Anolis sagrei: one gene and its partners. The protein of the gene in region 4 purifies or fractionates together with the protein of the main gene of each other region. This does not show direct contact. Links are inferred from orthologs where the notes say so. Each region holds a gene or a part of one and is shown on either strand. Other genes may lie near its edges. The genes, in order: FMR1, SOX9, MED13 and FBXW7.

Region 1 (7,477 bases), on a different chromosome or scaffold from region 4:
CTATGTGGAAACTGCTTTGAGTCCCCTTCGGGGTGAGAAAAGCGGTATACAAATATCGTAAACAAATATTGTAAATAAATATATAAATATAGAAAATAAAAAAAATCAAGGTGATCAATTGCAGCATCCAACAAACAGCATCAAACAGACAAGAGCTCTTTCTCCCACCGTGAGCACTGTTCTACACGTATATAAACCCCAGTAGGGTAGTTTCCAACACACCTCACAACCTCTGAGGATGCTTGCCATAGATGCAGGTGAAACATCAGGAGATAATGCTTCTAGATCAGTGTTTCTCAACCTTCCTAATGCCGCGACCCCTTAATACAGTTCCTCATGTTGTGGTGACCCCCAACCATAAAATTATTTTAGTTGCTACTTCGTAAGTGTAATGTTGCTACTGTTATGAATCATAACGTAAATATCTGATATGCAGGATGTATTTTCATTCTCTGGACCAAATTTGGCACAAATACCTGATACGGCCACATTAGAATACTGGTGGGTTTAGGGGGGATTGATTGATTTTGTCATTTGAGAGTTGTAGTTGCTGGGATTTATAGTTCACCTACCATCAAAGAGCATTCTGAACTCCACCAATGATTGAATTGTACTTGGCACACAGAACTCCCATGACCAACAGACAATACTGGAAAGATTTGGTGGGTATAGACCTTGAGTTTGGGAGTTGTATTTCACCTACATCCAAAGAACACAAACAATGATGGATCTGGACCAAATTTGGCACAGATGCTCAATATGCCCATATGTGAACACTAGTGGAGTTTGGGAAAAGTAAGCCTTGACATTTGGGAGTTGTAGTTGCAGGGATTTATAATTTATTTATTATTTATTTATTTCGGTTGCTTCTACCCCGCCCTTCTCACCCCGAAGGGGACTCAGGGCGGCTTACAAAAGCAAGGCACAATTCGATGCCCACATCACATAACAGCAATAAAACAAATAACATCAATTAACAATTAAACAACAATTCTTGCATTATAACCTTTAAACCAATACAAACCAATTTCTCCTCATTGACGGTCAGTGTTCGCTACCTCATAGTTCAATTTCCAATTCCACAATTGTCAGTCCTGTCAGTCCTATTCGTCTGGTTGTCCTTATCTAGTTGTCAGATTGCCCAAAGGCCTGGTCCTATAACCACGTCTTTACCTTCCTCCTGAAGGAGAGGAGGGATGTTGATGCCCTAATTTCCCCCGGGAGTGAGTTCCACAGGTGGGGGGCCACCACTAAGAAGGCCCTGCTCCTCGTCCCCACCAGCCTCACTTGGGATAGCGGTGGGGTCAAGAGCAGAGCTTCCCCAGATGATCTCAAATTCCGGGGTGGGACGTAGAGGGAGATACGTTCAGACAGATACACTGGACCGGAACCATACAGGGTTTTGTAGGGGAAAACCAGCACCTTGAATTGTGCTCGGAACTGAACCGGCAGCCAGTGGAGCTGAAACAGCAGGGGGGTGGTGTGCTCCCTGTATGTCGCTCCGGTGAGCAATCTGGCTGCCGCTCGCTGGACCAGTTGAAGTTTCTGAACAGTCTTCAAGGGCAATCTCACGTAGAGTGCGTTGCAGTAGTCTATTCAGGATGTAACAGGAGCGTGGACCACTTAAACCAAAGAGCATTCTGAACATCACCAACGATAGAATTGGGACAAACCTCCCACACAGAACCCTCAGAAAATACTATGTTTTCTCATGGTCTTTGGAGACCCCTCTGGGGGTCCCGACCCCCAGGTTGAGAACCACTGTTCTAGGTGGAGGCGAAACGTCAGGAGAGAATGCTTCTAGAACATGGCCATATAGCCCGACAAACCTACAATCCCGCCTTCTTGTTAATGCTTCCCGGTAAGGACTTTTTGAAGGAAGGAAGGAAGGGAGGGGGGGCGGCGTACCTTGTAGAAGGCCCCGTTGGAGCCGCGCACCTCGACCACGAGCTCCTCCATGTCGTCGTCGTCCTCTTCGGCGGCGGTGGAGGCGGAGGAAGCGGCGGCGGCGGAGAAGGAGGAGGAAGGGGGCCCGCCGCCGCCCCCTCCGCCCCCGCGGCCTAGCCGCCCCCCTGCCGCCGCCGTCGTGATGGCCGCCCCGCCGCCCTTCTTGGGCCCGGCCTCGGCGTCCCTCAGGTGGCGGCGGCGCAGCGCGGGACGGGGCGCGGGAGGCGGCGGCGGCTGCGGCGGAGGAAGCGGCGGCTCCTTCCTCTTGGCCTCCTCCTCGGCGCGGCTGGGCGTCGTGGTGGTCGCCGTGGCCCGCGGAGGCCCAGGGAGCGCGGCGGGAAAACGCGGCCGAGGCCTGGAAGGAGGGCGGAGAGAGGCTGGCGGGCGGCGGCGAGGAAGCAGGAGGAAGAGGAGGAGGAGGAGGCGGAGCGCCGCTGTGTCCACATGAAAGGCCTGGCGCCCTCACGTGAGGCGGCGGCGGCGGAGGAGAAGGCCGTAATGGCGGGCGAGCGGCGGTGGGCGGGGCCGGACAGCGCGCGCCTGCGCAGTCGCCGCAACAGCCGGGTCAACCCTGGTCGCTCACTCCCTCCCGCTCCCGCCTGGCGCTAAATCTCGCGAGAGTATACCCACAGTGTCTATATTCCTCCGCGTAATCTCGCGCGAATGGGTGACAGGATGAGGGGGGAGTCTACGCGCGTGCGCAGTCGCCCCAACAGACTAGTCTCTCGCTAACTCCCTCCCGTCTGGCTCTAAGTATCGCGAGAGCATACACAGTGTCTATCTTTCCTCGTCCTCTCCTCCCCGTAATCTCGCGCGAATAGGCGACAGAATGAGGGGGGGAGTTTACGCGCCTGCGCAGTCGCCCCAACAGATAAGTCTATCGCTATCTCCCTCCCGTCTGGCTCTAAGAATCGCGAGAGTATACACAGTGTCTATCCTTCTTCGTTCTCTCCTCCCCGTAATCTCGCGCGAATAGGTGACAGAATGAGTGGGGCAGTCTGACTACGCGCCTGCGCAGTCGCCGCAACAGATGGGTTAGCTCTGATCTCTCACGCCCTCCCGTTTGGCGCTAAGTATCGCGATAGTATACCCACAGTGTTCATACTCCCTGCCGTCCCTTCCGCGTAATCTCGCGCGAATAGGTGACAGAATGAAGGAGGGAGTCTACGCGCCTCCTTCTCGTTTGGCGCTAAGTCTCGCGAGAGTATACCCACAGCATCTATACTCTCTGCCCTCCGCTCGCGCGAATAGGCAACAGAATGAAAGGGGGGGGGAGTCTACGCGCCTGCGTAATCGCCCGAACTGACTGGTCTCTCGCTCACTACCTCCCTCCCGTCTGGCGGTAAATATCGCGAGAGTATACACAGTATCTATCCTTCCTCGTCCTCTCCTCCCCGTAATCTCGCGCGAATAGGTGACAGAATGAGTGGGGCAGTCTGAATACGCGCCTGCGCAGTAGCCGCAACAGACGGGTTAGCTCTGGTCTCTCCCTCCCGTAATCTCGCGCGAATAGGTGACAGAATGAAGTGGGGAGTCTACACGCCTACTTCCCGTCTGGCGCTAAGTCTCGCGAGAGTATACCCACAGCGTCTATACTCCCTGCCCTCCCCGCTCACTACCTCCCGTCTGGCTCTAAGTATCGCGAGAGTATACACAGTGTCTATCCTTTCTCGTCCTGTCCTCCTCGTAATCTCGCGCGAATAGGCGACAGAATGAGGGGGGGTCTACGCGCCTGCGCAGTCGCCCCAACCGACTGGTCTCTCGCTCACTACCGCCCTCCCGTCTGGCGCTATATATCGCGAGAGTTAAAACAGTCTATCCTTCCCCGTCCTCTCCTCCTCGTGATCTCGCGCGAAGAGGTGACAGAATGGAGGGAGTAGGGAATCGTGCGTCTGCGCAGTCAGGCTCACTCGCTCGGTACCGCGAGAGTATATTCACAGTATGTATACGCCCCTCCGCGTAATCTCGCGCGACGGGGTGACATAATAGGGGAGTCCGCCAGCCCGCGCCTGCGCAGTCGCTCTAAAAGCCGGGTCAACCCTGGTCACCCGCTCACACTCTCGCTCCCGTTGGCTCTAAGTATCGCGAGACACACACAGTGTATATACTCCGTCGCCTTCCCCTCCGCGTAATCTCGCGTGAAGAGGTGACAGAATCGGGGAGAATCCCTATGTTCGCTAAATAACGCGAGACTCTGTCGCCCAGGCATGGACTGCAGCCCAGCGCGGAGTGAGGCGCTTCCACCAAGTTCGAGGAGGAAGGAGCAGGCGCATGCGCACTGGTGGCCCTTTGAGTTTTAGTGTCTGCACAGGGCATGGTCCAACTTGAGCCTTCCAGGAGTGTTGAACTCCAACTCCCACCATTCCTAACAGCCTCAGGCCCCTTCATAGAATCATAGAATCAAAGCAGGAATTAGGGGTCTTTGCCAGGAGGCAGAAACCAATTAGACTCATCAAAGAGTTCTTTTTCCCTGGCGAGACAGAGAAGCACCCAATCCCTGATTTTTCCCAGTAAAAGGTCTCACCAAGTTGAAAGAAGTGCCACCGAGGTTTATTAGCGATTCAGCTGAAAAGGATGCAGAGCGGCAATCATTCGCCAAGCAGAGCATGTGGTTACAGAAGTAATGGCCATTTTTGTAGAAAACTAGCTGACCCTGCCACGCATTGCTGTGGCCCAGTTTGGTGATCTGGAAAATAAAGTAATGAGTCATTGGTTCTTTTGATTTCTAATATATGTAATGTCTTTCTGCTTGTGGGTAAACAGTATTTCTTCTTGTTTCTTTGTCAGTGTTGATGTGGAGATTGTCTGGTTTGCCTACTCTGGAACATGCAACATATTATTGTCCTTCTTTAGGGGTCCCTTTCACATCTGTCTTTCACCTGACTGCACAGACTGACGCACGATTCCCGACTCCCTCCATTCTGTCACCTCTTCGCACGAGATTACGAGGAGGAGAGGACGAGGAAGGATAGATACACTGTAAACTCTTGCGATATATAGCGCCAGACGGGAGGGAGGTAGTGAGCGAGAGACCAGTCAGTTGGGGCGACTGCGCAGGCGCGTAGACTCCCCCCCCTTCATTCTGTCGCCTATTCGCGCGAGATCTTTCACATCTATCTTTCACATCGTATCTCTGCCTATGAACCCACCAGGACTCTAAGATCTTCTGGGGAGGCCCTGCTCTCGATCCCGCCTGCATCGCAAGCACGGCTGGCGGGGATGAGGGACTGGGCCTTCTCTGTGGTGGCCCCTCGGCTGTGGAACACCCTTCCCATGGACATTAGATCAGCCCCTTCGTTAATGGTGTTTCGAAGAAAACTAAAAACCTGGCTGTTTGAACAGGCGTTCGGATAAACAATGCAATGAATATGATGAATATAGGAAACGGTATTATGGATGACGATTTGGATCACGATTCTAGTTACGAGACGCTAATGTGTTGTTATTGATGTGTCATTATTTGTATATTATGCTGTTAATGGTTTTTAAATATTGTATGTGTTGGATTGACTTTTTGCTCTTGTTGTGAACCGCGTTGAGTCGCCTACGGGCTGAGAAACTGCGGTATACAAGCAAAGTAAATAAATAAATCTACGATACTATATCTCTGTGTGTGTGAATCATATCTATCTATCTCTATCTATCTATGGCTGGTTGGTCTTTGTCAGGAGGACTTTGATTACGTTTTCTTGAGTTCTGTGTGCCAAATTTGGTTCGATTCCATCGTTGATGGAGTTCAGAATGCGCTTTCATTGTGGGTGAACTATAAATCCCAACACCTACAACTCCCAAATTACAAAATCATAATTTTTTGAGTGATGGTCACTCCTTATGTTGTGAGACCTTTTGTTGCCAAATTTGGAGTGAATTTGTTCATTGGTTCTTTTGTTTTTAAGGTACTCCTTATGCACAGAGCATTTATATATAGATAGATGCATCTATCCATATGTATGGGAGGATGGCTCTTTGTCAGGAGGACTGTGATTGCGTTATCTTGCCCTGGTGAAGGGAGTTGTAGTGGATGGGGTAAAGTTTTTTCTGTTGGTCATGAGGGTTCTGTGTGGGAAGTTTGCCCCCATTCTGTCGTTTGTGGGGTTCAGAATGCTCTTTGATTGTAGGTGAACACTGAATCCCTGGGACTACAACTCCCAAATGTTAAGGTGTATTTTCCCCAAAGTCTATCTGTTTTCATATTCGTGCCAAGTGTGGTCCAGATCCATCATTGCTGGAGTCCACAGTGTTCTCTGGATGTAGGTGTACTACAATTCCGAAACGAAAGGTCAATGCCCACCAAACCCTTCCAGTATTATCTGTTGCTCATGGGAGTTCAGTGTGCCAAGTGTGGTTGAAAAACGGTAAATCCCAGAACAGAGGAGTACATTGTTCTAAAAGTGAAAAAGCTTGGTTCAATTCATTCCTCCGGGACTGGACACAGAGGGTGGAGTGGCCAGGCCAAAGCTCTGAAAGCTCCTACCTTTGCTGTGGAGTTCCCCAGGGTGCTATCCTCTCGCCCCTGTTATTTAACATCTACATCTGACCACTTGCTGGACTGGTGCGGAGCTTTGGCATAGAGTGCTACCAGTATGCAGATGATACCCAGCTACTCTTGCGTCTCGAACCTGGAACAACTGCGATTCCTGAGAACTTTAAGCTGTGTTTGGAAGCAGTGATGAGTTGGCTACGAGCAAGCAGACTAAAAGTCAATCCTGCAAAAACTGAGATACTCTGGCCGGCCAGCCACCAGAATTAACCCAGTCTCTGCCTGATTTCGATGGGGAAGCTCTGGTTCCGTCTGCCACTGTTAAAAGCCTTGGGGTTGTGTTGGACTCATAGCTGACGATGGAGGCCCAGATCACTGCCATAAGTAAGCAGGGCTTTTTTCATCTTCGCCAGGCAAGGAAATTGGCATCCTACCTTTCGGTAGAAGCATTGACAACAGTAATCCACGCAACAGTCACCACGAGGTTGGACTATTGCAATGCCTTATATGCTGGCCTTCCGAAGTCAACGACCCAGAAGATTCGGATGGTCCAAAATGTGGCAGCCAGGCTGCTAGCAGGATCATCTATAAGATCTCATATTACACCGATTCTGCAACAACTGCATTGACTACCAATAGAACAACAGATCTCTTACAAGATACTGATCCTGACATTGAGAGCTCAAAATGGCCAAGGACCTTTATATCTTAGGGACCGCCTCATTCCTTTTCCCCATCAGTGGTCACCTCGATCCACCCAGGAAAATCTCTTCTACATACCGGGTCCTAGGGAGGCACATTTGGAAACTACAAGGCATAGAGCTTTTTCGATCAATGCTCCAATTCTGTGGAACTCATTGCCTTCATATATTAGAGCAATGTCGGAGTTGCGACCTTTTGCAAAGGCGCTCAAGACTTGGCTGTTTGGCTGTGCATTTAAGTAACCGGATCAAATTTTGCCATAGTCACTGCTGAATGTTTTTATGTTGAATTTTTTATGTTGAATTTTTTTATATGAATGTTTTTATATTTAATGTTTTTATATTTAAT
Region 2 (7,074 bases), on a different chromosome or scaffold from region 4:
TGACCCCACTTTAACAGCCATGGCTCAATGCTATGGAATCCTGAGAGTTATAATTGGGTGAGACACCAGCCTTCTTTAGCAGGGAAGGCTAAAGACTCCATGTTTCCATAACATGTCAGTTCAAGTGGTGTCAAACTGTTTCTTCTATGTGTAGCCCTTTTTAAGTTGCTGGGACTGGATTCCTAGGTCCCCTCACTAGCAGAGCCAATTGGAAGATAAGGTCATAATCATGGCCATAGTGAATACAAGTAGTGTGAAAGTATGTCAATTCTACAGTATGGATGCACAACCCCGGAGGGCTCCTCAGTGTGGATGCATTCCCTCTCCCTCCTCCTCTCATTCCTCCTCCAATCTCACCCCCAGAGTTGGCTGAGCTCTATGAGCCATAGCAACAAGTAATTCTAGATCAGAGCTTTCCAAACTGTGTGTCACGACATGTTCGTGTGTTGGCTGCAGCATTTAGGTGAGCTGCACAAATGTAAGGGAAATCTCTGAGTCTATGTAAAATAGGCACCAATTCATATATGTTTAAAAGATATAAATGAAAGGTTTCCATTAGATATGTGGTGTCCCCATTCAGTTTATTACTACAATATATGTATGTGTCCTTATCTTTTAGGAGAGGTGGGTTTACCCTCCAGCTTTCTAGTAAACCTGCACTACTGTGTCATGAAATGATGCATGCCTAAAACATGTTTGGAAAGCTCTGCTATAGAATGCATGAGAATGGTGTGCCCTAGAGTGCTCCTCCCCTTCCCACTCCACCCCAGTTTGCTGGGGCAATTAAAGCGGTGTCAAAGTGTGTTAATTCTAAAGTGTGGGTGCACAGCCACACCCCCAGTTTGCTGAGGCAGTTAAAGCAGTGTCAAAGCATGTTAATCCTAGACTATGGATCCACAGCCCTCCCCTCTGCCCCCAGTTTGCTGAGGCAGCTAAAGTGCTGTGAAAGCATGTGAATTCTACAGTGTAGGTGCTCTTCCCTCTCCCTGCTCTCCTTCCTCCCCCCAAAGGCTAGCCTCCAGAGTTTGCTGAAGAGCTTGCTGCACTCCATAAGCCATGCCACTTGAAATCAGTATGAAAGCATGTCAATTCTGCAGCATGGGATGCCTCTAGAGCAGGCCTGGGCAAGTGTTTTGGACTTCAACTTCCACCATTCCTAACAGACTCATGCCCCTTTCTTTTCCTCCTCAGCTGCTTAAGTGGGAAAGAGAAAGGGAGAAGGAAGGGGCCAGAGGAATTGTGGGAGCTGAAGTCCAAAACACCTGGCCAGAGTTTTCCCAGACTTGCTCTAGAGGGCTTCCCCTTCCCTCCCCCCTGCCCTCTGTCTCTCCCACTGCCATCTCCATCCCTGGTCTACTGGAGGGAATTATGGGAGCTGAAGCCCAAAACACCCATAGGGCTGGAGTTTGCCCATCCTGCTCTAGAGGGTTTCCCCTTCTCTCCCCACCTCTATCCAAGCAATCCTGGGCCACTCTCTAATCTCCGTCCCTAGTCTACTGGTGGGAATTGTGGGAGTTGGAAGGCCGGAGTTTGCCCATGCCTGCTCTAGAGGGTTCTTCCCCCTCCCCTTCCAGGCAATCCTGGATCTCTCTCCCTCTCCCATCTCCATCCCTGGGCTACTGGGTGCATCTACAGTGTAGAATGAATACAGTTTGACCTCACTTTAACTGCCATGGCTCAATGCTATGGAACCCTGGGAGTTGCAATTTGATGAGACACCACCAGCCTTCTTTAGCAGGGAAGGCTAAAGACCCCCTAAAACTACAGGGAGGGAGTGAGTTGTACTTTGGTGAGACCCCAGTTTTCTTTAGCAGGGGGAAGGCTAAAGACCCCTTAAAACTACAGGGAGGGAGGGGGGAAGGGGGGAAAGAGCCCACTCCGCCCGGCGCTTGCTCACCTCCAGAGCTTGCCCAGGGTCTTGCTGAGCTCGGCGTTGTGGAGGTGCGGGTACTGGTCGGCCAGCTTCCTCCGGGCGGCCTGGGCCCAGACCATGAAGGCGTTCATGGGCCGCTTGACGTGGGGCTTGTTCTTGCTGGCGCCGTTGACGCGGACGGGCATGGGCACCAGGGTCCAGTCGTAGCCCTTCAGCACCTGCGAGACGGCCTCCCGGATGCAGACGGGGAACTTGTCCTCCTCGCCGCCTCCAACGCCGCCGCCCCCTCCTCCAACGCCGGCCTCCTTCTTCATCTCGGCGTCGCCGCTCTTGGCGAAGGCGCCTCCGTCGGCGAGGCGGGGAGGGCGGCCCCCGTGGCTACTGCTCCCGCTGCCCTCGGCGTCGGAGCCGGACCCCGAGGGGCAGGGCGAGCCCGAGGAAGAGGCCTCCTCGTCGGAGAGGGCCGGGCTGGGCGCGCCCGCCGAGAGCGCCTTCTCCTGCTCGTCGGACATCTTGAGGAAGGGGTCCAGGAGATTCATGCGAGGAGAGAGAGGGAGGCAGGCAGGCAGGCAGAGGAGGAGAGGGAGAGGGGGTGGAGGCGAAGGGGAGCAAGGAGACAAAACAAAAAGGGAGAATGAAGGGGTGAAGAGGGCGCCTTTAGTTGCTGCAGCCGGCACGGCACGGCATGGGAAGAAGGCGCGAGGAGAGAGCCAGTCGAGCGGGGAAGACTCGGCCCACTCCGGAGCTCAAGAGGCGGGCATCGAATCCCCTCTCTTTCCCCTCTCTCCGCCCTTTCCCCAAAGTCCCTCCAAGCCTGGAGTGATCGTTTTCTCCCTCTCTTCGAAAGGGTTCCCTCAACCCGAGTCTCTCTCTCTTTTTTCCCCCTTTTGCAGGAAAGGAGAAGGGGGCTGGGTTAATTATTCTGATTCCCGCGGCTCTCCTCTCTCGTTTTCTCTTCACTCCTTTCCCAAAGTTCCTTCTCGCAAGTTTGGAGTGAAGGGGGAGAAAGGTAGGGCTATTTTTCCTCTTCCTCCTCCTCCTCCTCCTCTCTTCTTCTCTCCCTTCACACCACTTCTCTTCCAACCAACCACTGGGTTCCGAGCTCGGCTCTCCTCCGTCTCTCGCCTCTCTCTTTAATAAATACTCTCCTCGGCTATTTCACCTTAGAAAATCCCAGCCAATGGCGGCCCTGCTTCTCTAAGGCTGGCAAGGCCAGGATTGGCTGGAAAGTTTTTTTTAATTTCTAACTCCCCCCTCCCTCCCATCCCTTCAAAAGTTTGGGAAGGAGGGGAGAAATGAGCTCAAAAAAGGGAGGGAGCGAGAAAGAGAGAGAGAGAGAAAGGAGGGGGAAAGAGAAAGTCTGTCGCGCGTTGGACTTCCAAACGCTTCTTGTCCCTCCCGGGTCCATTTCTCTTTCTTTCCTATGTTGATCTAAGCAGATTTCTCTTGATGCTTTCAGAGCAAAGAGAAAAGGGCACCCAATCTCATTGAAGCCATGTCACCTTCGCCAATATTGCCTTTTTTCCCAGAAAGGGGGAAGGAAGAGAAAACAACTTTTCTGCTCTTTTCTGTCTTTCCCTCCATCCTTTTCAAAGCCAGTCTCTTGAAAAGGAGGAGGGAAAGGCAGAAAAGAGTGAATCACCTATTGTTATTCTATGGGAGGGTTTGTTTTGATTTTGCTCATCCCACTTCTCTTGCCATCCTGAAAAATGCCAAGAAGAAGGCAACACAAGGAAAGAAACATTTGGCGGTCCAGAATGCCTTAGGATCCTTCCACACAGCCATACATCCCAGAATATCAAGGCAGAATAATCCCACAATATCTGCTTTGAACTGGGTTATCTGAGTCCACACTGCCATATATTCCAGGGCCCTTCCACACAGCCATATAACCCAGAATATCAAGGCAGAAAATCCCACAATATCTGCTTTGAACTGAGTTATCTGAGTCCACACTCAGATAATGTGGGATGTTCTGCCTTGATATTCTGGGATATAGGGCTGTGTGGAAGGGCCCTTAGATTACACTATGTAACACCATTTATGTTCTTAGGTTATAAATTGATTGATTTCCCATATTTATATCCCGCTCTTCTCACCCTTGCAGGAGACTCAGAGCGGTGTACAGAATAGCAATATTTAATGCTGCATATTCAACAACATAAAATACATCAATGCAATGTCATTTCCTATTTGGTTCTATCATAAAAACATGAAAGCAGTCTACTAAACTGCAAAAAAACTTTGTCTTTGAGGGACACCTGGCAGCACATTTTACAATAGTTTTTCAATGGATATCTCATTGAGTCTGATCCAATTCAACATAGTTTGTGGCAGCCACAAAAATGAAGTTTCTGGAGCGTAACAGCTATTTTCAAAGTAAGTACCACACCATTAAACAGGAAATTTCAAACTAGGAACAGCACATTTCCTGATTTTTGTAATATAGTGTTATATATCCTCAAGCCACCTCCTTTCAAAGCAAACTAAAATGCCCATGTTGTGAACATAAAACAGTTCTAGGGCCCTTTCACACAGCCCTATATCCCAGAATATCAAGGCAGAAAATCCCACAATATCTCCTTTGAACTGGGTTATCTGAGTCCCCACTCAGATAATGTGGGATTTTATGCCTTGATATTCTGGGATATGGAGCTGTGTGGAAGGGCCCTTAGGGTCCAGAATGCCTTATATATCTTCACAAATGAAGTTGGATCTACTCTGACATATAATTCAGTTTGAACAATAGTGTAGATCCATCTTATGATGCTCATCTTTTGAATGTAAGGGACAAAGGTCACGATGGATTGCTACTTTATTTTTCAATGACTGCCATACCCTTCCCCTCAGGATATGTCCTTCTCCAGTACCCAATATTGAAACGTGATGTTTCGACTTAGCATGTCAACAATGGCTGTCAGGTATTTTTAGGTTAGAATTCCATCCTGACTTCAAATTTGGGCATGAGCTCCACTGAACCCATAAGGACAAATTTCCCAATAAATTCACCATAGTATTTCGAGTCCCTTTGGGAAAAAAACGTGTCTAAAAACGTTGATATCACAATTTGATAAAACACATGACCTCAATGCGCAAAATAAAAGCCCAAACCTGCAAATTTGGTTTATTGGGAAACTGTGCCAAGGCCAATGTTCCTTAAATAGCCAAGCTCTTGTCCTTGTCAGTCAGGGGGAATACATTTTCTTCTATTGCTGTGTCATTAGTAGTATTAATATTAGTATTTTTCAGGGTCACTCTCAGAAATGTATATGGCTAGGGGTCAGGCTTGGTGTGTATTATTTTAAATTCTAATTCTACAGATTTTGGGACTTTTCAACATCTCCTGGGCAGCATTGTTTTAAACTTGGGGATGAGAAGGAATGCCAATGAATATAACCTTTAGATAAAATGACAGGTTTAACAAGTAACCAAGGCCGTCTTCACTGCCATATCATGCAGCTTGAAAATGCATTATATAGTCAGTAAAGACTAGGCCTCGACAAACTTCAGCCCTCCAGGCGCTTTGGACTTCACTCCCACAATTCCTAACAGCCCCAGGCCCTTCCCTCCTGAGGTTGTTGGGAATGGTGGGAATTGAAGTCCAAACACCCGGAGAGCTGAAGTTTTGCCTAGGCCTGGTATAGACTCATATAATGAAGTTCAGTGCATGATATGGGTCTTCTGACTTATGGCGTCCTAGATGGGGCCTTGGTTAGCTGTGGCCAAAGGGTGGCGGGGGCGGGAGAGAAATGGCCATCGCTCGGGATGGATTCAGTCTTGTGATGATCCCTCTTTCCTTTGGACTGGAGACGTGACGCGTGGGTTGCCTCGCCCGTCCCACGCACGGCCCCGCTTTGGCAAGGACGGAGTCCGCTTCCCGCCCTGCAAACCCCTTTAAATTATTAGCTGTCATGTCGCCTTGCCTAGGAAGACAGACGCCACGCCACGGCTCGGCTTTGTTTTGCTTTGCTTCCCGTGCGCTTTTTCCACTCGCTCCTCGCAGCCTCGCCTTGGCACTTTTTCACAGTTACCCCTCTCTCTCTCTCTCTCAATAGGTCACCTTTCCTGCCATTCCCGCATCCGTCCAGAGGGGGCAGCATAGGCTCAGAAACGGGCGCCAGAAGCGGGCCGGAGCGCCGCGCGCCGTCCAGGCCGGGGGCGAAGGCGCCGGCATCCGCGCATGTGAGCTGGCACGCGCGGAGGTTTAGCACAGATTTCGGCATTCCCGGTGGGGACCCCTCTCCCTTGTCACCAGCCGCAAAGTTACACCAACCGGGAGTGAAGATATAAAGCTTCACTCTCAACTTTCTGGATAAAGATCTCAAAGGGATGCTATTGGAGACCACTTTGACAGTCCTGGCTCAATGTTATGGAACTCTGGGATTTGTAGTTTGGTGAGGAACGGGCACGATTTGGTGGAGAAGACTGTGTCAAACTACAACTCTCTTGGTTCCGTAACTTTGAGCAATGGGAGTTAAAAGTGGCGTCGAATGATGTTTATCATTCTACAGCAGGTCTGGCCAAACTGGGCCCTCCAGATGTTTTGGACTTCAACTCCCACCATTCCTAACAGCCTCAGGCCCCTTCCTTAGCGGCTGAGGGGGAAAAGGAAGGGGCCTGAGGCTGTTAGCAATGGTGGGAGTTGAAGTCCAAAACATCTGGAAGGCCGAAATTTGCCCATGCCTGTTCTAGAGTGTAGATGCACCCAAACACTTCCAGGAAATGCTATTTGGTTCATGAACGGGCGCGCGTGGCAGACATCGCCTTGCTTTTGCTGTTGCCTTTGTAGTGAAGGGAGAGAAAGCCGTGCGCATGCGCGAGTCTAGCTTCCCGCCTTTCCCTCCGAGAGCCCGAGCGTTCTAGGGAACGGCGCGCTGCCCTCCCGACGGCATCACCTTGGGAAGAGCCTTCTCCGCGCATGCGCTTTCAAGTCGGACTCCAGGGGTGGTTCGAAGCAGCTGATCAAGATGGCGGGCCCTGGCCTTGCTTGGCTGGCCCCTTCCTCAAAAGATGCTTTAAAAATAACAATGAACATGGCGTTTTCCACGCAGCTGAATGAAATCCCCCATTGTCTGTTTTGAACTTGGATATATGGCGGTGTGGTCTCAGATAACTCAGTTCAAAGCAGATGTTGTGGGATTTTCTGCCTTGATATTCTGGGTTATATGGTTCTGTGGAAGGGCCCTTCGAGATAGTTTAGG
Region 3 (7,166 bases), on a different chromosome or scaffold from region 4:
CCACGTGACAGGGCGCTCCTCCAATGGGCGGCGCGGGAAGGCGAAGGCAGAAAAGGAGGGCAGCCAATGGGAGCGCGATTTCCCCCTCTCGACGACGCTGGCCTGCTGTTTGGCCGCCATTAGAGGAGAAAGAGACAAGAGGGAGGAGGAGGAGGGAGAGGAGGAGGAGGGAGAGAGAGAGAGAGAGGGCAACATCACATCATCCTCATCATCCTCGGATCCAGGCCTTGTTTCTGAGGAGGAGGGAGGAGAGTAAGTCCTTGGGAAGGGATTGAGAAGAGGGGAAGGAGGGGAGATTGATTCATAACCCCCCCCCCTCACCCTTGTTTTTGGTTTGTCAACCTTTTCAGCTGCCGAAGGAAGAATGGGAGAGACTCGCTGAGGAGAAGGAGGAGAAGGAGGAGAAGCCACCTCTCAGGATGCCGAGGCTGGGCAGCCGCAAGCAGAGGCACCGCTGAGGAGAGGGGAAAAGGAGGAAGGCCCTTCTTTCTTTCTGCCTACCTGTCAGGGGAGAGCGGCCTGGCTTCCTGTCAGGAAGAAGAGAGGGAGCACAGGCCCCAAAGAAGCCCTTCAGGAGAGGAAAGCGAGCAGGAGAGAGAGACTCCTCAGAGACACACCTATAGACACTGATACTGAGGCACAAACACCTTCACAATTCCACACCATTTTGGGACAGCGGGGTGTGGAATTCCCTTCTCCTCCTGTGTTTTCTTGGAAACAGGGAGAGAACACAGGCCTGAAAGAATCCCTTCAGGAGAGGAAGGAAAGAAGGAAGGGAGCTTCCCTGGAGAGGCACCTAAACATCTTCAAGAACCCATAATTTCACCCCATTTTGGGACATCGGGGTGTGGAATTATCCTCTCACCTCCTGTGTTTTCTTGGAAACAGGGCCTGAAAGAATCTCTTCAGGAGAGGAAGGAAGAGAGCTTCTCCAGAGAGGCACCTAAACATCTTCAAGAACCCTTTCCTCTCACAATTCTACACCATTTTGGGACATTGCGGTGTGGAATTCCCTTCTTCCCTCTGCTTTGGAAAAAGACAAGCTTTTAACTTTCTCACTTGGGAAACAGGAAGAGAACACAGGCCTGAAAGAATTTCTTCAGGAGAGGAAAGAAGGAAAGAAGAGGGCTTCCCTAGAGAGGCACCTATAGACCTAAACATCTTCAAGAACTCTATAGATCTAAACATCTTCAAGAAGCCTTTCCTTCCATAACTTCACCCCATTTTGGGACATCGGGGTGTGGAATTACCCTCTCACCTCCTGTGTTTTCTTGGAAACAGGGAGAGAAAGGATTCCTTCAGGAGAGGAAGGAAGAGAGCTTCCCTAGAGAGGAACCTAAACATCTTCAAGAACTCTTTCCTTCCATAACTTCACCCCATTTTGGGACATCGGGGTGTGGAATTACCCTCTCACATCCTGTGTTTTCTTGGAAACAGGGAGAGAACACAGGCCTGAAAGGATCTCTCCAGAAGAGGAAGGAAGGGAGCTTCCCTAGAGAGGCACCTAAACATCTTCAAGAACCCTTTCCTCCCACAATTTCACCCCATTTCGGGACATCGGAGTGTGGAATTCCCTTCTCTCCTCCTGTGTTTTCTTGGAAACGGAGAGGACACAGGCCTGAAAGGATCCCTCCACAAGAGGAAGGAAGGGAGCTCACCTAAACATCTTCAAGAACTCTTTCCTTCCATAATTTCACCCCATTTTGGGACATCGCTGTGTGGAATTCCCTTCTTCCCTCTGCTCTGGAAAAAAAGACAAGCTTTTAACTTTCTCACTTGAGAAACCTCCTCTTGGAAACAGGAAGAGAACACAGGCCTGAAAGAATTTCTTCAGGGGAGGAAAGAAGGAAGGAAGAGGGCTTCCCTAGAGAGGCACCTATAGACCTAAACATCTTCAAGAACCCTTTCCTCCCACAATTTCACAACATTTCGATACATCGGGGTGTGGAATTATCTTCTCGCCTCCTGTGTTTTCTTGGAAACAGGAAGAGAACACGGGCCCAAAGGAATCCCTTCAGGAGAGGAAAGAAGGGAGCTTCTCTAGAGAGGCACCTAAACATCTTCAAGAACCCTTTCCTCCCACAATTTCACACCATTTTGATACATCGAGGTGTGGAATTACCTTCTTCTGCTCTTGAAAGAGACAAGCTCCTCGTTCTGATTTCTTGAACTTTCTCGCCTTTTCTTGGAAACAGGAAGAGGACACAGGCCTGAAAGAATCCCTTCAGGAGAAGAGAAGGAAAGGAAGAAATCTTCCCTAGAGAGGCACCTATAGACCTAAACATCTTCAAGAAAGCTTTCCTTCCACAATTCCACAGCATTTTGATACATCGGGGTGTGGAATTACCTTCTCCCTCCGCTCTAGAACTTTCTCACCCCCTGTGTTTTCTTGGAAACAGGAAGAGAACACAGACCTGAAGTAATCCCTTCAGGAGAGGAAGGAAGGAAAGAAGGAAGAGGGCTTCCATAGAGAGGCACCTATAGACATAAACGTCTTCAAGAACCCTTTCCTTCCACAATTCCACCTCATTTTGATCTCTTGAAATAGAATTATCTTCTCTAGAAAGGAAAAAAGAGACAAGCTCCTCGTTCCGGTTTGTTTTGAACTTTCTCACTTGGAAAACCACCTCTTGGGAACAAGAAGAGAATACAGGCCCAAAAGAATCCCTTTTAGGAGAGGAAAGAAGGAAGGGAGCTTCCATAGAGAGGCACCTAGAGACATTTATATTTATACATAAACATCCTTCCACAATTCCACGCCATTTTGATCTATTGAAATAGAATTATCTTCTCTCTCTAGAAAGGAAAAGAGACAAGCTCCTTGCTCCTGTTTGTCTAACTTTCTCACCTCCTCTCTTTTCTCGTGAGTCCATTTAAAGAAGGAGAAGGGAATATAAGGACTCTTTGGTGGTTCTTTCAACAACAAAAAGCATCCAGAGACTTCTGGCCTAGCAGATTGACCCAACGGATTCGTCTTGATCTTCTATTTCTTTCATTCTCCGCGCCTTTTTAAATTATTGTCATTATTATAATTATTGGAAAATACCCCTATTTTGGTTCAGGGGAAGAAAAAAGCAGACATCAGAAGGAAGTGAACAAGGGAGAAGGGATTTTGTCATTTCTGCCGAGGAATTAATTTTGGGATTTTGAGGAAAAGGTGTTTTGTTTTTTTCTCTTCTTCCCTTCGAAAGAAGTTCTTTCTCCCCATTTTTTCCTGTCAAGGAAAAAGGACCCTCCAGTGTGGACTTGACAAGAGGGGAGAAACAAAACTTTTCTTTTGGCTGTTTTTCCTTTCGAAAGGTTCTGTCAACAACCTGAAGCAGAAGTTTTGTTCAACTACAGTGTCAGAAAAATCAGAACTTTTTCTTTTTGGAGGAGTGTTTGCATCTTTTCAGTGTCTCTGGGGGGTCTTGAAGTTCAGGCCTTGCACTTCCCAAACCCAAAAGCAAACCTTTCTTCCTTGGAATTCTCTTCTTTTGGGTCAGACCCTCTTCCTTTCGCACCGCTGCATCAGGAAACTCCCACCCTACAGACCCCTCTGGATTGGGCCACAAGTTTGAATTATTGGAAACTTTGGAAGACACTTTACGCAAACAGGAATTCCCCACCTTCTGGGAGAAGGAAAAAAATTAAATTTGGGGCAAAGGGGAACGTTTGATCCACATTCAACCCATCGAGGAGATACCAGACTAGAAAGTTGTCCCCTTCTCATTGACTTAACTGAAAATATGTCTATGTCTGGCTGAGGAGAGAGACGAGAAGAAGGGGAGGGGGAGAAAAAAGAACAATCTGCTGCATTTCTTCCTCTCCAAGATGAAAAACCTCAAGATGACCATTTGATCCCATATATTGCATTTCTGCTCGTGAGGAGGAAAAAGAGACAGAGATTCCTGGATTTATTTCCCACCCGCCTTTCAATCGCTGGATTATTTGTGTCTTTCTTTCTCTCTTTCTCTCTCCCCCCCCCCTTTTTCCCATTTCTGCCCCCCTCCTTTTCGCCTTGAAGTAACCCCAGCCTCCTTTCTCTAACCTCCTCTCTATTTATCTCTTTGGGGTTCGGAAATTGAGCTCCTCAGAGGAAGAAGATTCCTTTCTTCCTCTCCTTTCCCCTCCCTGGTATTTGATATCATTAAATAATAAATAGATATTATTATTATTATTATTTATCCCGATCTATTTGTGTGCTGTGGCGCACACGCCACCGTGCAACCCCCTCCGAAAACTCCTCCCTGGGCTCTTCTTGTGGTTGTGTGGGTTTTAAAAAAGGAAAAAAAGGGGGCCCTTTCCCTTGCTGGCTGGTGTGTGCGAGAGTGTGCTGTGTGTCCCTCCCTTCTCAGGCTGTGTGCCTTCCTCTCTCTCTCTCTCTCGCCCTGTCTGTCTCTTTTCTTTCTTGTCGGAGGCTTGTGGGATAATGGCGTGTGGGTTGTGGCTGTGAGGATGAGTTCTTGCTTCGTACCCAACGGGGCCAGCCTGGAGGATTGCCATTCCAACCTATTCTGTCTGGTGAGTCGGTGTGTGGCTCTTGGGAGCCTTTCGGGGTGGGTTTTGGGGGGCGATTTGAATCAACCCAAAGGGTGGATGATGGTGGAGGTTGAAGGAAGGGGGGGAAGAGGAGGAGAAGGAGGAGGAAAGGTTTTACGGATCAGAGATAAACCTTGGTGGACGGGAAAGTCTGGGGTGGGAGGGAGAAGAAGGGAGAGGAGAGCTCACCAGCAGAAGGGAGGAAAGGAAAGGAAAGCAAGGGAAGGAGGGGAGTGAATAGGAGAGCGAGCGAGCAGCCATTTTTAGCATTGCTCCTGCTGGAGTAGGCCTTGCCAGACATTTTTCCAGCTCCCTCTGTGTACACACATGTCTAGATCCACACACGCACATATTTGTGTACATGTACACCAGCCCTTGTTTTTCTTTCCCTGATTGGTCTTCGCTTTGCCACCATTCCTCGGATTTATATTTTTGCCTCCTTCTCTCTCTCCTTTTGTTGTTTTTGTTCTCGATTCTCCTCCTAACTTCCATTTTTTTTCCACGCTCCTTCACCTCTTTCATTTCTGGCCTGTCTTCCCTAATACAAAGATTTCGGGTGTGTCTTTTTGATAGTGACTTTTTCCTCAGCTTTTTCACCCCCTCCCCCCAAAAAAAACCCACATACACATACCAAAAAAAATACACACCAAAATGCATTTTCTGTTTACTAGGCCAACTTTGCTTGATTCCTTAGAAATAACAAGGAAAACCAAACTGTGAAAGTGACACAAGAGGTCTTGGGGGGTTGTCGGCAAAATCCCTTCACTGGAATTTGGAGATTTATTGTCGAAGGCTTTCACGGCTGGGATCGCTGGGTTGTTGTGAGTTTTCCTGGCTGTATGGCCATGTTCCAGAAGCATTCTCTCCTGAAGAAGCATTTTCCTAGTTTCGAACAGCTTGATGCTAATCAAGGTGGCCTTTGGTAACAGTCACACTTGCCTCCCACCCTGGACATCATTCCACAGATATATCAACCTCACTTGCCTAGTTTCCAACAGACCTCAAAACGTCTGCCATAGATGTGGGTGAAGCGTCAGGAGAGAATGCTTCTGGAACATGGCCAGACAGCCTGGAAAACTCACAACAATCCAATTTGGAGATTTTGCTTTTTCGACTTACAGATGAATGGGAGTAGCAACCCTTTCTTTTACATTGCACCCTTGTCTTGATGTCTTTATTTGTTGGTTTGTTTATTGTTGTTAGGTGAGCCAGTTCAGTCTTAATTGAGTTAGGATCCAGTTGAACTTCCTGCCCAGTCTAGGTTTTGGTGACCTCTGTCTGATCCCCCCCTTAATGCAAATTGGTAGCAGATTTTGACTGGTTGGTGTTATTTAATCCTGGAAGTGGAATATAATGAAATTGATCTGCTTATGTGTAGTTATGGGTATGTTCTGCAGGATCACAAAACTGACCTACTCCCATGGGGTTGCCTATGTGTTTAATGTATTATGTCCCCCAGCCCCCCCCCCTTTCCAAAAACATAAACCGTTGCAGATAGAGCTAGTGTAGTGGGAGCTTCCTTATTGGAGTTAAATAAGCAGGAAATCCTTCATTGTCTGCAAAAGAAGTGGAGTATGCACTTCCCCAATCGCAGGGTGGTGAAGTTGAACCCTGGACTGAGCCCTGCTTGCAACTTGCTGCTCCCTTTGCTTTACAAACAAACCAAAACCGAGACTGGTTGAAACATTACCATTAGTATTTGTGATTTTCTCAAAAAGTTGTGTTTCTGGATGGAGGAGAGCAAGAAATATTTGTTTAAGCTGTCTTGAATGACTTGGGTTGTAGTTAAAATTACCTAAAGTTGTCCCAACAGGGTGTTTTTGAAAACTAGATCTTTCTTAGAGATTCTCTGGAAGGGAATTTTATTTTTATTGTGTGTGTGTGTGTGTGTGTGTGTCAGGAGCGACTTGAGAAACTGCAAGTCGTTTCTGGTGTGAGAGAATTGGCTGTTTGCAAGGATGTTGCCCAGATGTTTTGATGTTAAGTTTTAATAACTTCTTGCATTGGTTTTTAGCTTCGATTTCAAAATTTGTTGGAGTTTGAAGTCTACAACCCTTTGGGTTGGATGTGAATTATGGGACTGGGTCCCAATATTGTGATCTGGATTTGTATATACACTTTGTGCTGGTCATGAACTGGAATAAAGTTTTGATTGATTGACCATCCTTGTGGGAGGCTTCTCTCATGTCCCTGCATGGGGAGCTGGAGCTGACAGAGGGAGCTCATCTGCATTCTCCCCGGATTCGAACCTCCAACCTGTCGGTCTTCAGTCCTGCCGGCGCATGGGTTTAACCCATTGCACCACCAGAAATAAGGACAGTTGTTATTTTTTTCAGTGGTTGTCATTTTTCAGCAGAATTCTTGACTCCAAAAATTATTTGCTTCAGGGTTGTTGTTATTACTTCTGACAGTAAACGACCTATCTGAAGGTGGGTCAGTTAATGTTGAGGAATGTATTAGACTCTCAGAATACACATTTTCAATATGGGGGTATTCAACAGGATGCCAAAAAGTAGTGATGTGCTCTTTGATGCTTTGTAATTCTAGAATGGACTTGAATAATCAAAACCACTGGTTTGAATGGAATAGAGGTTGAGGCTACAGTTCACAGACATTTGTCATAAGAGAAACAAATTATTTTGTGA
Region 4 (7,384 bases):
ATCTAAACTACTTTCTGTTGCTGAGAAAAGGAAAGGGGGGGGAGAGAAAGAGACAGACTCTGGTAACAAATACTATGTCCGAGCTCATTTGATTGGCTCTCTGGACCAGTTCTCTTCTCATTAAACTACCCAACAAAGCCATTTAAAGAACCCTCAAGACACACCAATGGTTTCCGCCTGACCCCAAAGAGACAAGGGAAGGGAGGGGAAAGAGAGAGAGAGATTTCCCGGCTGAAAGGGAGGGTCACTTAGCGCAGCAGACCGTGCAGAGAACCCTGCAACGTGAGGCGCATATGAAACAAGAGGCAGAGGCCCCCATCTACACTGACCATTTAATGCAATCCGAAGCTAACTTCAAACTGCAAGGGATAGGCAAGAAACTTCCATGTAAGCACGTGAAAGAAAACCCTTCATGTGGTTGGTGGAATCACTATCCAGGCCCCAAACGGGTTCCCGGATTTTCTATGGAATAATCTGCACAGTGAAACCACTTTCTTCTACATTCATTTGAAATGGCATTAAAGGGTAAATGGGGACTTTAGTCTATTTTGCATGAAGGGGTTAGAAAACTGTATGTATCAAAGATTTGAAATTGCTGGATAAATTAAACTCCAAACAAACACACTAAGAGTTCTTGCAGAGTGCTCCTCTTATTCAGAACTTTACCTGCATGATTCTTCATACAAGAGGTCAGAGAAAACACCCATTTAACTTTAGAACACACATTTAAGTGAATAAAATGGAAGCTGAAACTGCAAGGACCTGGAGAACTTCCAGTCTTCCATCTGAAGTGCTTAAGGTTGCTTAGCAGGGCAGCCCCCTCCTCTCCCTACCCCACAAAAGAGGAGGAAGACAAAAATGGTGGGGGAGGGGAGAGAGGAAAAAAGAGAGGAAGAGAAGAAAGAGGAGAAGACAGAAGAGAAGAAAGCGAAAGAATGGGGTTTTAATCTATTGAATGTTTTTATTTTTTTGTTAGATGCTAATTAAGTTTGATGTGGGTTTTTTATAATTTTTGATTATGCTCATGTTGGTACTGATTATTTTTATGGTATGTTACGTCTTTGCTTTTTATTTGTTGTTCGCCGCTTTGAGTCCCAATTTGGGAGCAAAGCAGGATAGAAATAAATAATAATAAAGAAGAGGAAGAGAATGAAGAATAAGAGGAGAATAAAGAGAAAAAGGATGGGGAGGAAGGAAGTGAAGGGGGAGGAGGTAGAGGAAGAGAAAAAAGAAGAGGAAGAAATGGAGGTAGAGTAGAAGAAAGAGAAAAAGGACAAGAAGAAAGAGGAGGAGGAAGAAGTGGAAAAAAATGAGAAAGAAAATGAAGAGGGAGGAGGAAGAGAAGAAAGAAGAATGAAGAAGAGGAGAATAAAGAGAAAAAAGAGGGGAGGAAGGAAATGATGGGGAGGAGGTAGAGGAAGAGAAGAAAGATGGTGAAGAGGAAGAGAAGGAGGAAGAGAAAAAAGAAGAGAAAGAAAATGAAGGGGGGAGGTAGAATAGAAGAAAGAAAAAGGACAAGGAGAAAAAGAGGAGGAGGAAAAGAAAAAAGACGAGAAAGAAAATGAAGAGGGAGGAGGAAGAGAAGAAAGAAGAATGAAGAAGAGGAGAATAAAGAGAAAAAGGATGGGGAGGAAGGAAATGATGGGGGAGGGGGTAGAGGAAGAGAAGAAAGATGGTGAAGAAGAAGAGAAGGAGGAAGAGAAAAAGTAGAGGAAGAAAATGAAGGGGGAGGTAGAGTAGAAGAAAGAGAAAAGGGACGAAAAGAAAGAGGAGGAGGAAAAAAGATGAGAGAAAATGAAGGGGGGGGAGGAAGCGAAAGAAGAAAAATTAGAAACAAAATGAAGGGGGGATGCTAAGGAGAAGCAAGAGAAAAGGGATGAGGAGGAGGAAAACGAGGAAGAGAAGAAATAAGAGGAGGGGTGAAAAAAGAGGAGTGAGAAAATGAAGGAGGAGGGAGAAAGAAGGGAAAGGGAAAGAGGATAAGAAAGAAGGGAAAGGGGAAGAGGATAAGAAAAAAGAGAACGAGGAAGAAAATGAAGGGGGTAGAGGAAGAGAAGAGAAAAGGAACGAGAAGAAGAGGAGGAAGACAAAAAAGACGAGGAGAATGAAAATGATGGAAGGGGGTAGAGGAGAAAGAGAAGGAAGAAGGAAGAGGAAGAGAAGAAAGAGGAGGAAGAAAGAAAAAGAGGAAGAGAGAAAAACGACGACGAGGAAGAGAATGAAGGGGAGGAGGTAGAGGAAGAGAAGAAAGAAGGGGAGGAGGAAGAGGAGGAGGAAAAGGAAGAGGAGGAGGCGAGTGTCCACCCCACGTGCACCTCCTGGAAGGTCGAAAACAGCCACCGGGAACACTCCCCTTCCCTTCCACATCCCTTTCTCAGAATTACTCACTTCGGGAGCGAGAGCAGCAGCAGCAGCAGCAGGACCGGCGACGCCCGGCGGTCTTTCCTGCTGGGCCCGAGAAGGAGCTTCACGCCCAGACCTGCGGGGATCCGGAGGCTTGGAGGCGCCCAGGACGGGTCCCTCGGAGGCCCTCCTCCTCCTCCTGTTCGGCTTCCCTGGCTGGGCGTGTGGCCGCCGCCGCCTCCTGTTCCCACGCCGCCTGGGCCGCCCGCGCCCGCCCCCTCTGCCCCGAGAGCGCTGCCCGCCGCTTCCCCCCGCGGGAGGCGGAGGAGGAGGCGGCGGTGGCGGCGAGAGGGTCGGGCCGCGGCCCCCGCCCGGCTCTGGCTCTCATAAACCCTCTCCTCGGGCGCTGCTAGGGCCCCAGCCAGGCGGAGGCAGCGCGGAAGCGGAGCCCGGCGGCGGCGGCTAGGCTCAGCGGCGCTCCCGCCCGGCTCCCAGGCATGAGGGTGACTGGGTCTCGCCCGAAGAGAGGCAGCGAGGAAGGAAGGAAGCAAGGAAGCCGGCGGGTGGCTCCGGAGACGCTCGCTTTCTCTCCCTCGCGCACCACAGAGACACAGGCAGCGAGGGCGCTGAGGGAGGGGAAAAGACAAGGCACGGCGCGGGGAAATGACGCCAGCCGTAACCAGGCAACCGCAGCCCTCTCCGCCCGCCTCCTGTTTCCGTCGCGAGGCGGTGACGTCGAGGGTTTTGCGACGGCTGTGCAGCGTCTCTATGGAATGTATGGAGAAGAGATGAAAACGCCGCCGTGAAGCGATTGGAAGAGGCCAACGCGGCGAGCCAATCCCGTCGCAAGGACTTGCGCAGGCGCAGTCGGGGATTTGGACTCTGGAAATATTAACCCCTTCCGCGCCTGCGCGTTCCCCTCGGTAGGCGAACGCGGTTGATTCGATTATAGCGATTCCCAGAATAGTCCTCCAGGTCGGTGGACTTCAACTCCCAGAAGCCTCAGCTGCCTTGGTCGATGATCAGGGATTCTGGGGGATGAAGTTCAGAATTCCTGGAAGGCTAGAGTTTAGGAAATACACTTTCCTAGGATCCCCCCCCCCCCTTAATTCGATCAGACAATTAAGGCCTCTTCCACACAACAAGTTGAATAGGTTGGGTGAGAGTATACAGCCCTGATGAACGCCTTTCCCAATCTTGAACCAGTCTGTTGTTCCATGGTCAGTTCGTACTGTTGCTACTTGGTCATCAAACATTCCTCAGGAGACAGGGAGGGATAGTCATTCTTAAAAGTACATTTCCAAGCTCTCTAATAATGCTCTTTTCTCATGCTGTTCTTTTCAGTCACACCATATGTTCTTCAAAGGGCCCTTCCACACAGCCCTATATCCCAGAATATCAAGGCACAATATCTGCTTTGAGCTGGGTTATCTGAGTCCACACTCAGATAGTGTGGAATTTTATGCCTTAATATTCTGAGATATAGGGCTGTGTGGAAGGGCCCTTAGAAGAACATATGATGTGGCTGAAGAGAACAGCATGAGAAAAGAGCATTATTAGAGAACTTGGGAAGTTACTTTTAAAAATGACTGTCCCTCCCTGTCTCCTGAAGAATCTGTATAAGGACCAAGTAGCAACAGTACGAACTGACCATGGAACAACAGATTGGGAAAGGCGTACGGCAGGGTTGTATACTCTCACCCAACCTATTCAACTTGCATGCAGAACACATCATGCAATGTGCAGGGCTTGAAGAATGCAAGGCTGGGGTTAAAATTGCTGGAAGAAGCATTAACTACCTTAGATATGCAGATGACACCACTTTGATGGCTGAAAGCGTGGAGGAGTTGAGCCTTCTAACCAAGGTGAAATAAGAAAGTGCAAAAGCTTAGTTGCAGTTAAACATTAAAAAAAACAAGATTATGGCAACAAGACTGATTGATAACTGGCAAATAGAGGGAGAAAACGTGGAGGCAGTGAAAGACTTTGTATTTCTAGGGGCAAAGATTACTACAGACGCAGAGTGCTGCCAGGAGAACAGAAGACCTTTATTTCTTGGAAGGAGAGCAATGACCAATCTCAATAAAATAGTGAAGAGTAGAGACATCACACTGGCAACAAAGGTCTGCATAGTTAAAGCAATGATAGTAACCTACAGATGTGAGAGTTAGACCATAAGGAAGGCCGAGCAAAGGAAGATTGATGCTTTTGAACTGTGGTGTTAGAGGAAAGTTCTGAGAGTGCCTTGGACCGCAAGAAGATCCAACCAGTCCATAATTCAGGAAATAAAACCCCTCTGTTCACTGGAGAGAAGGATATTAGAGGCAAACATGAAGTATTTTGGCCACATCATGAGAAGACAGGAAAACTTAGAGAAGACAATGATGCTGGAGAAAATGGAAGGCAAAAGGAAGAGTAGCCAACCAAGGGTAAGATGGATGGCTGGTATCCTTGAAGTGACTGGCTTGACTCTGAAGGAGCTGGGGGTTGTGACAGCCGAGAGGGGGTTCTGCCATGGGCTGGTTCATAAGGTCACAAAGAGTCGGAAGCAATTGAACAAATAAACAACAACAATCCCTCACTGAGCAGTGGTGGGATGATGGCTACATAGAATTAATGCAGTTTGAGACCTTTTTTGTTTCCATAGGTCAATACTATGGGATCATGGGAGTTGTAGTTTTCAAAGTAATTTGGAAAGGATCCCCTCGGGGAGCTAGGGTGGGATATAATTAAAGTTATTTATTTATTACTTGTGCCTTTTTGCTAACAGAAAGCATTACACCCCCCCAGAGGTCAGACTTAGTTGATCTATTCCAGTTCCCTATTCCTCTCTTATTGAACTCCTCCTTTCTCTACAGACACTAGAGGCTTGGGGCATTGTCTGGTAATCCTAGGCCAAGCAATCAATAAAAAGACATTCTTAGCACCTGCATTTAGCAGTATTTTATACCATTAGTCCAAAGGACAACAGAAGCTTTTGGCCAGCCTAAGCTTCACAAGGAAGATTAAGACAGTTTATAACCATCACTTTGCACCAGAGGCAAGAGACTTTCAAAGATTCCAGAAAGATGACTGCAACCAGCAAAATCTCCTTTTGTAATGTATTATGTTACCTTAAACTTAATCACACTAGAGAAAAAATCCACTTAAAATCCTGTTTTTGCCTCCTGCAGAATTCTGAGGTTTGTAGTTTAGGTAAAGTCTCCTCCTTATTATAGTCCTGGGTGGAGTTAATCCTTTATTCATCTTGTTTCAGTAAACTCTTTTGATTATCTTTCCACCTTGCCTAAAGTTCCTCTGCTAAGGGTCTTAATCTTAAAAGAAGGTATCAGCTAACCCCCGAGTAAAGTCAGACAATCTAGTTTTCCCAAATGTTCGGACGTACGATCACAAGGGGAATACTCACTTGGCCAAAGATTAAGCAGGAGATAACCAAGAAAATGCTCCTTATCACTGTCTATGGTTCTTGGAAAGTGCTCTTTTCATCTTGGCAGGTCTGTCTCCCAATTTCAAATATGATCTATTCTAAAACATTACAGAGCCCAGCCAAAAAGGAAAATACCCATGTAATACTGCATGCACCTGTCAGTTAGTGTGAAAGAGATCCTAACAGCTGGGATTTCTGGGAGTTGTAGGCCAAAACACGTGGGGACCCACAGGTTGAGAAGTGCTGGCCTGCTGCTTGGCTCCACAGTAAAGTTTGCCCAATGGAGAGTCATCCTGTGGAGAGGAGAATGTGTTCTCCAAGCACTTATGGAAACTGATTTGTTCCTTCTGCAAAAATGATATACTGTTGTGTCACAGCTCAGCATTTCTGCATGTATTTTTAGACCCTTGGCCTGTTGGGACCAATAATCACACCAAAATGTAAAACTAAGCAAAAATTAGAGTTTATAAAATTTAGCTGAAGACATTACACCAGTAAGGAGAGAAGGATAAAGTAGGTAGAACATAAAGATGGCTGTGGACCTTTGAGGATAACTCTGACTAAAATTCCAAATTTTCAGTTCTTAGGTGAGCTGTTTTTGTTCTGTGGCTGTGAACCAGTTCTGTTTAAAGTGGTATGCAAAGTTATATTTTGGTTGTTTCTGGGTATATTTGACCTGTTGGTTACAAAAATAACACCAGTTTCCTCCCATCCACTCTAGTTTTTGAGATACATAATATATGCCATCTACCAGTCACCATCTGCTCATAGATGGAAAATCACTATAACCGTATCAAAGAAAATAGAGTTGATGTGATCTATCCAATGTAATTTGTTTAATCAGTGCCCAAAATAACCCCAGATGCATGTCTAAAAACTAAGACACCAAGAAAAGTTTTTATTGATCTGTTTATTTTTATAGAAGGGAATCTTGTAGAATCTTATACCTGAGAAGCACTGGGGCATTGCAGGACACCAAAATACCCGGGAGTTACTTTTAGACCATCCTCCAACTTACAAGAAGCACTGTCTAATTATCAAGCAAAAAGTGGTTGCTAGAAATAATATCACACGCAAGCTGACTGGCACAACCTAGTGATCACAACCAGACACATTGAAGACATCTGCCCTTGCACTTTGCTACTCTGCTGCTGAATATGCATGCCCAGTGCGGAATACATCTCACCATGTTAAAACAGTGGATGTGGCTCTCAATGAGACATGCAGCATTATCATAGGATGTCTACGCCCTACACCGCTAGAAAAATTACAATGTTTAGCTGGCATTGCATCACCTGACATCAATCTGGAACTAGCAGCCAGTAATGAAAGAACCAAGGCATTGACATCTCAGGCCCATCCTCTGTTCAGATATCAGCCAGCATATCAATGTCTTAAGTCAAGAAATAGTTGCAGAGCTACTCACAGGAACACCTCAGCAAGCGAGAGTCCAAAAGTGGCAGGTTAAAACCCGGAACCTCAATCAGTGGCTGATATCAGATAAGAAACTCCCTCCTGGGCACACAGAAGACTGGGCGACTTGGAAGGTGCTGGACAGACTGTGCTCTGGCACAATGAGATGCTGAGCCACTCTTAAGAAATGAGGCTATGAAG

Evidence for each region.
Region 1: the proteins of FBXW7 (region 4) and FMR1 purify together in Homo sapiens (affinity purification with mass spectrometry, with the first as the bait; 3 studies listed by BioGRID). This does not show direct contact. The link is inferred for Anolis sagrei from reciprocal best matches to the Homo sapiens genes FBXW7 and FMR1.
Region 2: the proteins of FBXW7 (region 4) and SOX9 purify together in Homo sapiens (affinity purification with western blotting; 4 studies listed by BioGRID and IntAct, with this or other methods). This does not show direct contact. The link is inferred for Anolis sagrei from reciprocal best matches to the Homo sapiens genes FBXW7 and SOX9.
Region 3: the proteins of FBXW7 (region 4) and MED13 purify together in Homo sapiens (affinity purification with mass spectrometry; 5 studies listed by BioGRID and IntAct, with this or other methods). This does not show direct contact. The link is inferred for Anolis sagrei from reciprocal best matches to the Homo sapiens genes FBXW7 and MED13.

Annotation. Positions count from the first base shown.
Region 1 is NC_090030.1:30,073,885-30,081,361, reverse strand, and holds the start of FMR1 (fragile X messenger ribonucleoprotein 1), read right to left. Parts: upstream 3,006-7,477; 5' UTR 1,960-3,005; coding exon 1,909-1,959; intron 1-1,908.
Region 2 is NC_090022.1:134,370,095-134,377,168, forward strand, and holds the start of SOX9 (transcription factor SOX-9), read right to left. Parts: upstream 3,018-7,074; 5' UTR 2,413-3,017; coding exon 1,898-2,412; intron 1-1,897. UniProt on the Homo sapiens protein: Transcription factor that plays a key role in chondrocytes differentiation and skeletal development.
Region 3 is NC_090031.1:31,483,909-31,491,074, reverse strand, and holds the start of MED13 (mediator of RNA polymerase II transcription subunit 13), read left to right. Parts: upstream 1-4,147; 5' UTR 4,148-4,437; coding exon 4,438-4,503; intron 4,504-7,166. UniProt on the Homo sapiens protein: Component of the Mediator complex, a coactivator involved in the regulated transcription of nearly all RNA polymerase II-dependent genes.
Region 4 is NC_090025.1:50,919,876-50,927,259, forward strand, and holds the start of FBXW7 (F-box/WD repeat-containing protein 7), read right to left. Parts: upstream 3,011-7,384; 5' UTR 2,389-3,010; intron 1-2,388. UniProt on the Homo sapiens protein: Substrate recognition component of a SCF (SKP1-CUL1-F-box protein) E3 ubiquitin-protein ligase complex which mediates the ubiquitination and subsequent proteasomal degradation of target proteins.